Linked DNA regions of Xenopus tropicalis. The protein of the gene in region 2 purifies or fractionates together with the protein of the main gene of each other region. This does not show direct contact. Links are inferred from orthologs where the notes say so. Each region holds a gene or a part of one and is shown on either strand. Other genes may lie near its edges.

The links. The genes of interacting proteins can lie anywhere in the genome.
Region 1: the proteins of mkln1 (region 2) and gid8 purify together in Homo sapiens (affinity purification with mass spectrometry; 4 studies listed by BioGRID and IntAct, with this or other methods). This does not show direct contact. The link is inferred for Xenopus tropicalis from reciprocal best matches to the Homo sapiens genes MKLN1 and GID8.

The regions. Positions count from the first base shown.
Region 1 is NC_030686.2:2,365,864-2,371,828, forward strand, and holds the end of gid8 (glucose-induced degradation protein 8 homolog), read right to left. Parts: intron 4,233-5,965; coding exon 4,110-4,232; intron 3,460-4,109; coding exon 3,263-3,459; intron 3,003-3,262; coding exon 2,805-3,002; intron 1,978-2,804; coding exon 1,804-1,977; 3' UTR 1,020-1,803; downstream 1-1,019. UniProt on the Homo sapiens protein: Core component of the CTLH E3 ubiquitin-protein ligase complex that selectively accepts ubiquitin from UBE2H and mediates ubiquitination and subsequent proteasomal degradation of the transcription factor HBP1.
Region 2 is NC_030679.2:84,995,329-85,001,879, reverse strand, and holds the start of mkln1 (muskelin), read right to left. Parts: upstream 4,378-6,551; 5' UTR 4,230-4,377; coding exon 4,156-4,229; intron 33-4,155; coding exon 1-32. UniProt on the Homo sapiens protein: Component of the CTLH E3 ubiquitin-protein ligase complex that selectively accepts ubiquitin from UBE2H and mediates ubiquitination and subsequent proteasomal degradation of the transcription factor HBP1.

The DNA.
Region 1 (5,965 bases), on a different chromosome or scaffold from region 2:
AGCTCAGAGAGTCCTCACCCCTGGCTACTACCCCAGCTTGGCGTCTCCATACCCCTGCCTACTATCTCAGCTCAGCAAGTCCTCACCCCTGGCTACTACCCCAGCTCGGCGTCTCCTTACCCCTGGCTACTATCTCAGCTCAGAGAGTCCTCACCCCTGGCTACTACCCCAGCTCGGCGTCTCCTTACCCCTGGCTACTATCTCAGCTCAGAGAGTCCTCACCCCTGGCTACTACCCCAGCTCGGCGTCTCCTTACCCCTGGCTACTATCTCAGCTCAGAGAGTCCTCACCCCTGGCTACTACCCCAGCTCGGCGTCTCCTTACCCCTGGCTACTATCTCAGCTCAGAGAGTCATCACCCCTGGCTACTACCCCAGCTCGGCATGTTCTCACCCCCGGCTACTACCCCAGCTCGGCATGTTCTCACCCCCGGCTACTACCCCAGCTCGGCATGTCCTCACCCCCGGCTACTACCCCAGCTCGGCATGTCCTCACCCCCGGCTACTACCCCAGCTCGGCATGTTCTCACCCCCGGCTACTACCCCAGCTCGGCATGTTCTCACCCCCGGCTACTACCCCAGCTCGGCATGTTCTCACCCCCGGCTACTACCCCAGCTCGGCATGTTCTCACCCCTGGCTACTACCCCAGCTCGGCATGTTCTCACCCCTGGCTACTACCCCAGCTTGGCATGTTCTCACCCCGGGTACTACCTGTCTGCCTCGGCCCCAGTGCATAATGTCACCGCATCCCACCGGCCAACGCTAATGACGCTGGACACTTGGTTGACTTCACTCCACACCTGCCAGAGAAGGGGACTTCACATTACCGGCGCTGGACAAGTCCGCCTGTGGGGCGCAGTGATGTGACACACTGGGGTAGAGGGCCACTCTGAGGCAAAGAGGTAATAGCAAGGGGTGAGGATGCAGCGGAGGCCAGGTAAATGACCTTGGGGGGAGCCGTATCTGGCCCGTGGGCTGTAGCTTGAGGACCCCTGCTTTATATGATCCTTACAATAAAAGGTGTTTTTACTCTATTTAATAAAAATCAAATGCCTTCCAGGAGAGATAGACAGAAATCCCTCCCAGCAAGCAGGGCTCACAGCCAATACATCAAACATGACATTTACTTTGGGAAACTTCTGTATAAACAACCGATTGGCACAACCTGCCCAAATCCACCCTCCCAAACACATATTAGTCCAACCAACTCTGCGTCTATTAAACTGTATTACATTTGCCGCGGGGCAGAAAGCTTGCACGACTGGTTAACACGCTCACTACCAAGAACAGGCAGAAGAAAGAAAACATGAATATAACCCCCCCCCCCAGACTGCACGTTAATCTTGTAGTTGTGCGAGCACTGCAGGATGGGGCAATAACTGGTGTAGGAAGGGTAATTGCCTCTAGGATCACTTGCATTCGGCACCGGATAGAGTGTTTTAGAAAGCAAAAACTGATATAAAAAGTTTCAGCACTCAGGACCCAACACATAATGGGAGATGTTACTACAAACCATATGAGTAGACTGCAAGGAGGTCTTGGTGCATAGTTAGACTGCTCGCTAATTCCTTTATAGACCAGCAGCCAAAGCAATTGCCCCCTGGCACAGCAGAGATGGGAAATACTGAGTGAACCTGCCTCACAGCCTATTTCCTCCTGTACCAGGGAGGGATGTGAGAGAAAAAGGACAAGGAGTGAGAGGTTTCTCCCTGTCGCTGTGCGTGGAGTACAAACGTCACAGACTGAGAATACGTGGGGCGCACAGGCAAATGTTCCGTGAGTTCCTGTGACGTCAAATCGGGCGTTACTTGGGCTCTTCCACTGTCCCTTTGCTGAGGTCAGCCATCTTGGGGTATTTAACTTTCTTCTGGTCCAGTTCGTTCTGAGCCCAGAGGAGCAGCTTGAGCAGTTTTGCCAGTTTAGGGGTGGACTCGCGGTTCTCATAATCCAGGACGGCTTGGTTGACTTCGCTCCATACCTGCCAGAGAAGGGGACTTCAGGTTACTGGCGCTGTTATATAGTTAGAAATATTGTATTATGGGGGTTAAATGGGGTTAAACAGTAGGACTGACATGTTTATTGCTTCCTATAAAACAATATATGATAGAGAAGGAAGCCATTTAATGCAAGGCCCTGACTATACATAAACTACATAACAATAACTATAATGAGGCAAAAAACCAAAAACACACTAATTGTATTATAGTCTCTTGCCTTATTATACACCTCCTAATAAAGTTGTTGTATTTGAATATATATAAAAACTATAAGTGGAGGGTATATAAGGAAAATGACTCAAATAATGCCTCACCTCCTCTGATGAAGCACCCAAAGGTGTAAAACTCATAAGGAGGGCGGAGCATGGGGATCATGTGGCACTGGGATGCACCCATATGTTGTTTGGGATAGTATGATTATAGATTTTGGAATTTCACTGTTAACTTGTTATGTAGGTATTGCTTCCTCCCTACTTTGCATTCTCTCCCAGCCTTCAAGGCAAAAATCAATGTCACTTGTTTGTTTTCAGATAATAGAAGTGCGGAACTGCATTCAGTTTGCTTGGAGCGGATACTGCCCCCTTGTGGTCCTGGGTGAGAGGGAAGGGGCAAGAAGAAATAACAAATGCAGGAAGGGGTGTTAAAAAGGGAATTATATTTGCCTATTCAGTCTCTGCCAGTAGAATTGAACCCATTTGTCTCAGCCAGAGTGTATGGAGGGGAGGGATACCAGTGCAATGTACCCACACATTACCAATTACACTGATCTGACAGATCATTCTGTGGCAGGGGATACTATGCTGCTCACCTTTTGCCTTTGCATCATGTTGAGCAAGTCGCCAAAGGGAGAATCCTCTGGGTTATCGAATGCCAACAGTGCCAGCGTCCGCTCCATCTCAGTCAGGCACTCGCGGCTCTCCTCTCCCTGCTCTGCCAGTTGGGTCTGGGCAAACTCTAAAGCTGCCTCTGTCTCTCTTTGCCGGATCAGCTCAATAAGGTGCTGTTGCTGAAAAACACAAATGCAGAGAAAGCCACCCATTACTTACACATTTCAGGAATACCAACTGTGCTGAATGCTTCCCTTAGTTTCCCATGTGTCTGTGTATGCTGTGAGACAGCTGCCCAGTGACCCCCACGGGGCAAATGTAAGTCTAACAGCAAACAGAACCTTGCAGCAGTGTTACATAACAGAAATTCAGGTGAATGGTCAGACCCCCAACAACCAGAACCCTACCCTGTCCTCTGCCCCAAACACAAAGGTCTAACCTGCAAGTGAAAGTACAAGTAACGGTTGGTATCCAAAAGCTCAGGGTGTAGGGAATTGATCAGAGCAATGGCTTCCTGAATCTGGCCCTTCAGAATCATCTCTCGGATCTTTATTCTTTCATCCAGGCTCTCCAGATCGACGCTGGGTTCGATTCCAGACTCCATCCGGAACTTCTCTGCCGCCTCTTTGAATCCCTCTGAGGGAGGAAAAGAGTGAGATGAGCAGCCATGGTTCGTAAGAACCTAAAGAGTCTAAAGAGGTTTGTTGTAAGGGGTCCCATATAGCGGCATTTTGAGAGCAGATAAGTTACCTACAATACTAACCCCAGTGCAAACTGATGATTCCCATTAAATCATGAACAGTCATTTGTACAAAGGTGTATCGAGGATCCCTATAGGACACAGTTTGCTAATTCTATGTTTCTTGGACATAAAACTGTTCCCAGTCACCTATATGTGGCTGCAACCCATCCCATTGCCCAACAGTTTTGTGTAAAAGACTATAAAAGGCTATAAAACTGCCAAAGTACAAAACAACTGCTCAGTAAGAGAAAGACCCAACATAGAAGGGTAACTCCTCAGAGCAAGACTCAGCAGTCTATATACATCAAAAGGAAAAGGGGTGCTCCTTTAAAGGAATAGTAACACCAAAAGATGAACGTATATCAGTTATTCACAGATTATTTACTGTTGCCCTGCACTGGTTAAAGCTGTGTGTTTGCATCAGAAAGACTACTATAGTTTATATAAACAAAGCTGCTATATATATGCGACCTTCCAAGGTGCCCTAAAGGCTGGGGACACAGAGGAAGGTTTAAAGGTAAAGCATTAACACTGCCTCTCTAACCTGTAACAAGGTAGTTCATGATTAGGCGGTTCATGTCTGCTCTTTGGATATGTAAGTTGTTCAGTTTCTCCATCCATTCTTCTTTTGTAATCTCCTCTGGCTTCTCTGTGTAACTCATTGTCACTTTGAAAAAAGAAAATGAAATAAGACAAAAAGCCACTTGCCATATTAGCGAGGTGTCAGACGGAATTGTAAGGAGGTTGTGAAAGACAAGGGACCCTCGGTAGCAGGGGAGGCTTTAGGGACACAGTACATGAAGGGTACAATTATAGTCACTTGATTGGGACGGGGCATATGGGACACAAATGCAGAGAGACAGGTGGGGTCAGAGGACTGGGGGGGGGCAGGGGCTATGGTAGGAAGAAGCATCAGGCACTAGAATGTGAAAGGGTTTATAAATAACAGAAGACTTGGGGGATGTAGGGCACAGGGCTGGATGAAATACTGGTGACACGAAAAAGGATTATGGTCACTTGGATGGGAGAGATTTTATACGGAACAATGGGTTGGGGGAAATGATGGGCACTGGGACAGGGGAGGATTTATTACGGACACAGACTTTAGGGAATAGTGAGCACAGGAATAGAATGAGGTATCTGTGGCACTGGAATGTGGACAGGGGCACTTGGAGGGGTAAGTTTGATTATAGACAGTGTGTGGGAGTTAATGGGCCCTGGGAAAGGATTGTGTATTAGTGGCAATGGGTTTGGGGGACACAGGCTGGAGTATAAAGTATTTATGCCACCTGGGTGTGGGCAGGGGCACTAGGTGTGGAGGGGTTTATTAGGGACAAAGGGCTTGGGAAGATGATTGGCCCTGGGGTAGGGAAGGATTTATTAGGGGAAGATGATGGGCACTGGGATAGGGAAGAATTTATTAGGACACAGGGCTTGGGAAGATGATGGGCACTGGGGTAGGGAAGGATTTATTAGGGGAAGATGATGGGCACTGGGATAGGGAAGGATTTATTAGGGGAAGATGATGGGCACTGGGATAGGGAAGGATTTATTAGGGGAAGATGATGGGCACTGGGATAGGGAAGGATTTATTAGGGGAGGATGATGGGCACTGGGATAGGGAAGGATTTATTAGGGGAGGATGATGGGCACTGGGATAGGGAAGGATTTATTAGGGGAAGATGATGGGCACTGGGGTAGGGAAGGATTTATTAGGGGAAGATGATGGGCACTGGGATAGGGAAGGATTTATTAGGGGAGGATGATGGGCACTGGGATAGGGAAGGATTTATTAGGGGAAGATGATGGGCACTGGGGTAGGGAAGGATTTATTAGGGGAGGATGATGGGCACTGGGATAGGAAAGGATTTATTAGGGGAGGATGATGGGCACTGGGATAGGGAAGGATTTATTAGGGGAGGATGATGGGCACTGGGGTAGGGAAGGATTTATTAGGGGAAGATGATGGGCACTGGGATAGGGAAGGATTTATTAGGGGAAGATGATGGGCACTGGGATAGGGAAGGATTTATTAGGGGAAGATGATGGGCACTGGGATAGGGAAGGATTTATTAGGGGGGAATGATGGGCACTGGGATAGGGAAGGATTTATTAGGGGAGGATGATGGGCACTGGGGTAGGGAAGGATTTATTAGGGGGGAATGATGGGCACTGGGATAGGGAAGGATTTATTAGGGGAAGATGATGGGCACTGGGATAGGGAAGGATTTATTAGGGGAAGATGATGGGCACTGGGATAGGGAAGGGTTTATTAGGGGAAGATGATGGGCACTGGGATAGGGAAGGATTTATTAGGGGAAGATGATGGGCACTGGGATAGGGAAGGATTTATTAGGGGAAGATGATGGGCACTGGGGTAGGGAAGGATTTATTAGGGGA
Region 2 (6,551 bases):
ACTGATCATTGGGCTTATCTACTAGAATGTTTCTGAGAAAGTAGAAATAAAAATAAATTTAGCATGCAAAAATAAAAAAAAAACAGAACTACAAAAGGCAATTGTGGGTAAAAAAAAGTTTTTTTGTTTGGCAAAAAGTATGTTACTTCATTGATCTCACACCAAACGAGGGATAGTGCCCTTTTAAAAAGATGATAAAGTTTGATACTTATTTGCCTCCACAGACATTCCAGCTGGTATTCTAATAAGGGGTGTGGGCATCAGCCAAAACTTCAGTCATTAGACATTTATCACAAATTTAATGACTACAAAGTGGTGCGCACCCAGGCATACGTGCACTTCTAGGTATGATCTGTATTACCAGTATAGACATATGCATCAGGTATATTTTACTGTTCACCTGTTTAAACATAAACATTTGCTATTGGTTATTGCTACTGGGCAAAGTTAGTGCCTTTTATTAAATAAAGCTGTATATCATTTTTTCTCATCATTTTTGTGTGACTGAAACAGAAAAAAAATTATAAAGTTTGATTTTATAACAGTCATACTAAAAGAATTTAGTTTGTATATGGCCAGTGGAATAAAGTAAGATGTTAAACTGCTTAGTATATTTCATGCACTTCTCAGATTATTCATTAAATAGATAGATCATAGGGCATTTGGCATTAAACCTATGAAGCACGAGGGTTTTATATTACAGAGTTAAATATAGTTTTAGCCTGTGATCTGTGGCACTGTATTATAAGGTGTAGCCTAAGTCTGGCTCTTTATCAAGTTAAAACCTGTAAGAAAATAAATGTAAGTCAAATTAAAAACATCGCCTCTTGCAGTGGCACCAACTGAAAGCACTGTAGATTTTGTTATTACAGTGTAGGGAAGGATTCAGTGTGCCTGAGGATGCATAACACAAGATGCATCAGAAATGCTGCACTACAGAATAAAAGTCATAAAGACAAAGGATATGGAAAGATGCCTCTATACAGGGCCGGAATGGGGGGTGCAGGGCATGGTGCCCCCACTGGCCACGTCCCCGTACCCCCTAGGGGCTGCCGCTGTACCCCCTAAGCCCCACAGGGTGTCCCCCCCCCCGAGCCTCCCTAACCCCCCGCCCCCCCCTGCAAGGGCCCCTGTCGGATGTCCTTCCCTGAGCACGCATAAGGGTTTTTTTCCGGTTTCCCAGTCCGACTCTGCCTCTATACTATGCCCCAATAACCATTGTGTGACTATATAAAAAAAAAAAAAAAAAACACAAGTATAATTCACCTTACAGAAACCTAACTGCGTAGCACCAGTCCTGCATTTGAGAAATCCTATTTCCAACAACAGGACCTGGAAACTGGTTACCTTGTCAATATTTTATTTGTATTTATATTTTGAGGCTGAATGTAACTTAATCAATACAACTTCTTGCTACAAAAAACAAGGAAGCAGCCCACAAATCTTTAATTATACCCCCTTAGGGTGAAGACACATGGAGCTACTAAAAGCAGCTACTTGTCGTGGCTACTGAAATAGACAATGCTGATCATTTACTGATAATTGTCTCTAAGCGTGTTTTAGCAGAGACAATTCTTAGCATTGTCTATGGCAGGATATTTTCTGGCATTAGTAGCCACAAAAAGTAGCTGCTACTAGTAGCTCCGTGTGTCTTCAACCTTGAGACAGCAGAGATTCAACTCATAGTTGGGATTTCTGAGATTCGCATTGAGAATTAGGCATGTAGGGACATAAGGCTGAAAAGTCTGCATCACTAACAACACTTATTACAAATATTTTTTGTGGATTTCCTCTGAGTGCATTACTTTCTTTTTAATTAAATAAAGGATAAGGGTGAACTTAAAAAAGCATGCTGTGGTCACCTTGATGCAAAGTTTTTTATTTAATGGAAGAATCACAAAAAACGAACACAGGTGCACAACAGAGGCTGGTATTCTTTATAAAAGTAGGAAAATAAAACAAAACAAAACTACTACTGTATTGAAATTCTAAAGCATGCAGCTTTCTGGTTAAAGCTACACAAGTGAGTGAGTACACAGAATACTTACTGTATACACAAAAAAACCCTCAATATATGCTAATTTCACCAGTCCTTTTGTTTATCACAAACGATTACTACAGTTATTAAATTTAATTTGCATAACACACAAGGAAATAAAGTACAGAAGTTATTTCTGTTCAATGAGCATTAAAACTTCTCAGCATTGCTGTTTGCAGAGGTTATTTACTTTTCAAACCATTGAAGTTCATCTAACTCTTGTTCTTTTGACAAGGTCAGGTCTGGGTTAGTGCCAGATGTGCCAATGGGATGTCTGTGCATCTTACTGAGAACACAAAGATATTCTAGCCAAAAATTCTGGGTTAATTATTTAATTCAACTTCCAGCACTAACTCGGGTGTCTAAAGGATAATAGTTAATGTACTGCATTTAATAAAATACTTATTTAGCGTCTGTGTGTTTTACTATATAATATACTCCAAAAGGGACCGAAACATCGGTTGTACATGCAAGTATAATACACTAATATTTGTTTGAACCACAAGACCCTTGGTGCTGGTTGTGTTTGATTTGAGATAGATAGATAGATAGGAGATATATATATATATATATATATATATATACACATACACACACATACATACACTAAATATATAGGTGCCTTGACCACACCATGAGGTTTGTAAAGGATTCTAAAAGCTGGCAATAGGAGAACTCAGCTCTTTTAGCGAACCCACCAAACAACATGATCTTTGTCGATTTGGCGAGCCACATTGGCTGCCATATCAGGCTAACCCAATCCTTTTGTCCCTGGCCTTGAACCTTCTATAGAATGCCAGTCTACATACAGGCTACCAAATAGCCAATTATAGCTCTTATTTGGCACCCCCAGGAACTTTTTCCATGCTTGTGTTGCTCCCCAAAACTTTTTCCATCTGAATGTGGCTCACGGGTATAAAAGGTTGGGGATCCTTGATATAATGTCTAACCTCACTAATGCTCTTGTAGCTGAATGAAAGCAAATCCCACCAACAATGTTCCAACATCTAGTGTAATGTCTTCCAGAAGAGTAGAGGATGTTATAAGAACAGAGGGAGAATCTATTTGATTTAGGAAAGAGATATTGGACAGGCAGATGTTGAGATCACTTTGTTCATATAGTGTACCTACTCAGAAGTAAATAACTGTGCATGCTTCATGTCGGAACTCCAGACAAAACTTGCAGAATGTATGAGCAGTAATACAAGCTATTTCTATCCCCCATTAAATATTGCCCAGATTTGATACTGATGTGGATATGGCAGTTGGGTTCAATTCTAACTATCTAACTACTATCAGCATTAAGTTTCTCCTTACTTCTGCTTCCATTAGATTCCTCCCACAGTCGAAAAACACAGGCAGGTTAACCATGGCACAAACCAAAAACATACCGGTAAGGTTAACCATTGCACATATGGTAAAGTCCAATATACAAAGTTATTATTAATATATAGGTGCTATATAAATAGTAAAACGGTGCTTATTAAACAGATGTATAACTTGCAGATAGGTTCCTAACAAACAAGCCTGTACTGCACTTGTTTTCATGTCCCCACCCTTATGCATGATGCTGATGGAAACGCCTAAGTTATATAAAAGAAATAATAACTAACTACATGGGATGTACTAACCATTAACAAATGTACTACAAGCGCTTTTGGGCAGGGCTCTATCTCTTGAATTGGTTATTATTCGTATTGTATGTTGTAACATATACACCCATTTACTGTACAACACTAAGGAATATGTTGGTTTTATATATACTTTAACAATAATTAACAGTTCTAGAAGGCCACTTAACAGGTAAAACAGAATTGGTACTTTGAATAAAATATGGTTGTTTATAATACAAATAAACAACTAACATAAAAGCTATTTATGTTTAGACAGAATATAAACTACATATATAAACTGCTACTGACATATAAATACTAACATGTTAAAGCTATGGTTGTTTACAAATAACACACGGCTATAGGGGCAAAACACATACGGTGTATGCATGAATACCAGCGGTAAACATAACTTTTAATGCACAAAGTCATGTTTGACGTACAGCAACTACACTCTGCAAGCCTGCCCGCATAACGTGAACATACGAAGCTTCTCGTACTTACTCGGGTAAATAACTGGAAGAAAACGAGCTCCACTTAAATACAGCATAAGGTAATCCTCTAATCTCGGCCGCCATCTTGTCAGCGGGAAGACGGGGGCGGGGCGCGTCTCTTAAAGACACAGGTGCTCAAAGGCAATTGCAAGGGAAAGAAGAAAGCTGACGTCTGCCCGCCTCACAGTCTGTTCGCTTAGCTGAGACAATAGTGACGGCTGGGTCATTTTACCACGCCACGTACGTAGCAAGTGACAACTGTGCGTCTACGTCGGTGAATACACATGGCCGAAAGCCACTCCCCCACGTTGCTTTTGTTAGTGAAGTCAGGCATGCTCTGCTTGAATAGTAGCAGGGGCTGTACGTAAAAGCACATTCACTGGTGCCAAAGCAACGCCATGCATATTACAGCAATTTATGTGGAAATTTATTGCAAACGGAAGTAACAGTGTAAAACACAGACATTTGCTGCTTGCATTAAGCCGTTTATAACACCAGAGTCTCATATTTTCCATACTGTCCTCTTCTTTAGGGAGTAATCTAAGCTGCTAATTATGCGTTTTGCGCAAAACTGATCCACTAGTTTCTTGTTTTGTTTACTCCTTTGGTGCTGAGCTGTGTAAACTATGAAACCTTTTCTCCAATTTGCAGTGGAAATTGCCCACAAAACTGAGGAAAGCTTTGCAAAAATAGCAATTTCTTCTCGTGATGCATTTGTTTTGGGCATATAGCGCCATAGTCTCCATACGTTACTGAACTGAAACACAACTAGAAGCAAATAGGGTTGCCAGCTGTCCGGCCCAGTATAAGTGTTGTGTACCTGCACAAACATCAGCCCAATAGTGACATAGCCCCTCCCTGTCATGGCTCTATCCCCAAACAACCCTGGTCTGCCCTAGATGTCACAATTTTGCTTCCAATATTTTTGATTTTTCCCATAGCAAATGTGGCAACCATTTTTGCCACAAACGTGCTTAATATTGCTAAGTATAGCAAAAATATGCCGCATTGTATTCTGATGCATATATGAGCAAATTTTCACACTTTCTATACTTCCCCCTGTTGGCATTAAAGCATACCTCCCAACATTTTGAAAATGGAAAGAGAGACAAAAAGAAATGCCCCAAGCAGTGCAGCAAATTTTTTTGACCACACCCATTTTTGCAACCACACCCCCTAAATACCACTCCCATTTGACTAAATTTGGCAGGTTATTAAAAGTTTGAACACATTTCTTGGGGTTTTGGCTTCTTGTTTTATGTGTTATTAGAGGTTTGTTAAAAAAAGCTGAAATTGCCCTTTGTCCTTTAGGCTGATGCCACACGAGGTGTAGGGCTGATATTTTCGGCAAGCGGAAAAACACTTTGCGAAAATACAGCCCTACGCCTGCTACTTGTGCCTGCACCCGAATGAATGAGATACGCTCGGGTGCAGGCACATGTAGCTGATATACGCATGAAAACGCGTGAGAATGCAAAGTCTCGCGTTTTCATGCGTATATCGGCTACATGTGCCTGCACCCGAGCGTATTCCATTCATTTGGGTGCAGGCACAAGTAGCAGGCGTAGGGCTGAATTTTCGCCAAGGGTTTTTCCGCTTGCCGAAAATATCAGCCCTACGCCTCGTGTGGCATCAGCCTTAGTTCCCCCATGAGACCTGTTTAGCTTATTAGTTACAACTGTATCTCAGTGCAGGTGTGGCTTGTTAACTTTCTGGGCTCTCTGCCAAAAGCCCACTTATTTGGGTGGGGTTTGGATGGGTTAATTTCCTGCTGTGAAACTTAGAAATTACTTTCAGTAGAAAACTAAGGATAGGTCTGAGAACCACTTTCTTTTCCATGAAAAACAGTATAAGGAGGGTCAACAGAAAGCGCTTGCAACTCACTGATCTGGCGGGCCAATGTGAGAGCTACTAGAAAAAATGTTGGTGTCTCCATCTGCCCTGAAGAAGAAGGTCCCTGACATTCGGAAGTGGCAGAGGGTCTGCCACTAGCAAATGCCTCAGGAGTGGATACCAAGGTCTCCTCGGCCAATCTGGGAGAATATCGATGACCTCCATCCTGGTTAATAGGATCTTCTGCAGAACTCTCAGGATAATCAAGATTGGAGGGAAGATATGCGCGAATAGGCCCTCCCAATCCTGAGAGAAGGCATCCACCGCTGCTGCACCTTGACAAGGGGCTCTGGAGAAAAAGATCAGAAGTTTGCAGTTCAGATCTGTTGCCATCAGGTCCACCTGTGGGCAGCCCCAAACAGACACTAGCCAGCTGAATATCTTCTGGTCCAACTCCCACTCCCCATAGGGTAGGAGATGTCTGCTCAAATAGTCCGCTTCTACATTCTGAGCTCCCAGGACATGGTGAGCAGTCAGGTCTAAAAGGTGATTCTGTGCCCTTTCCATGATTGG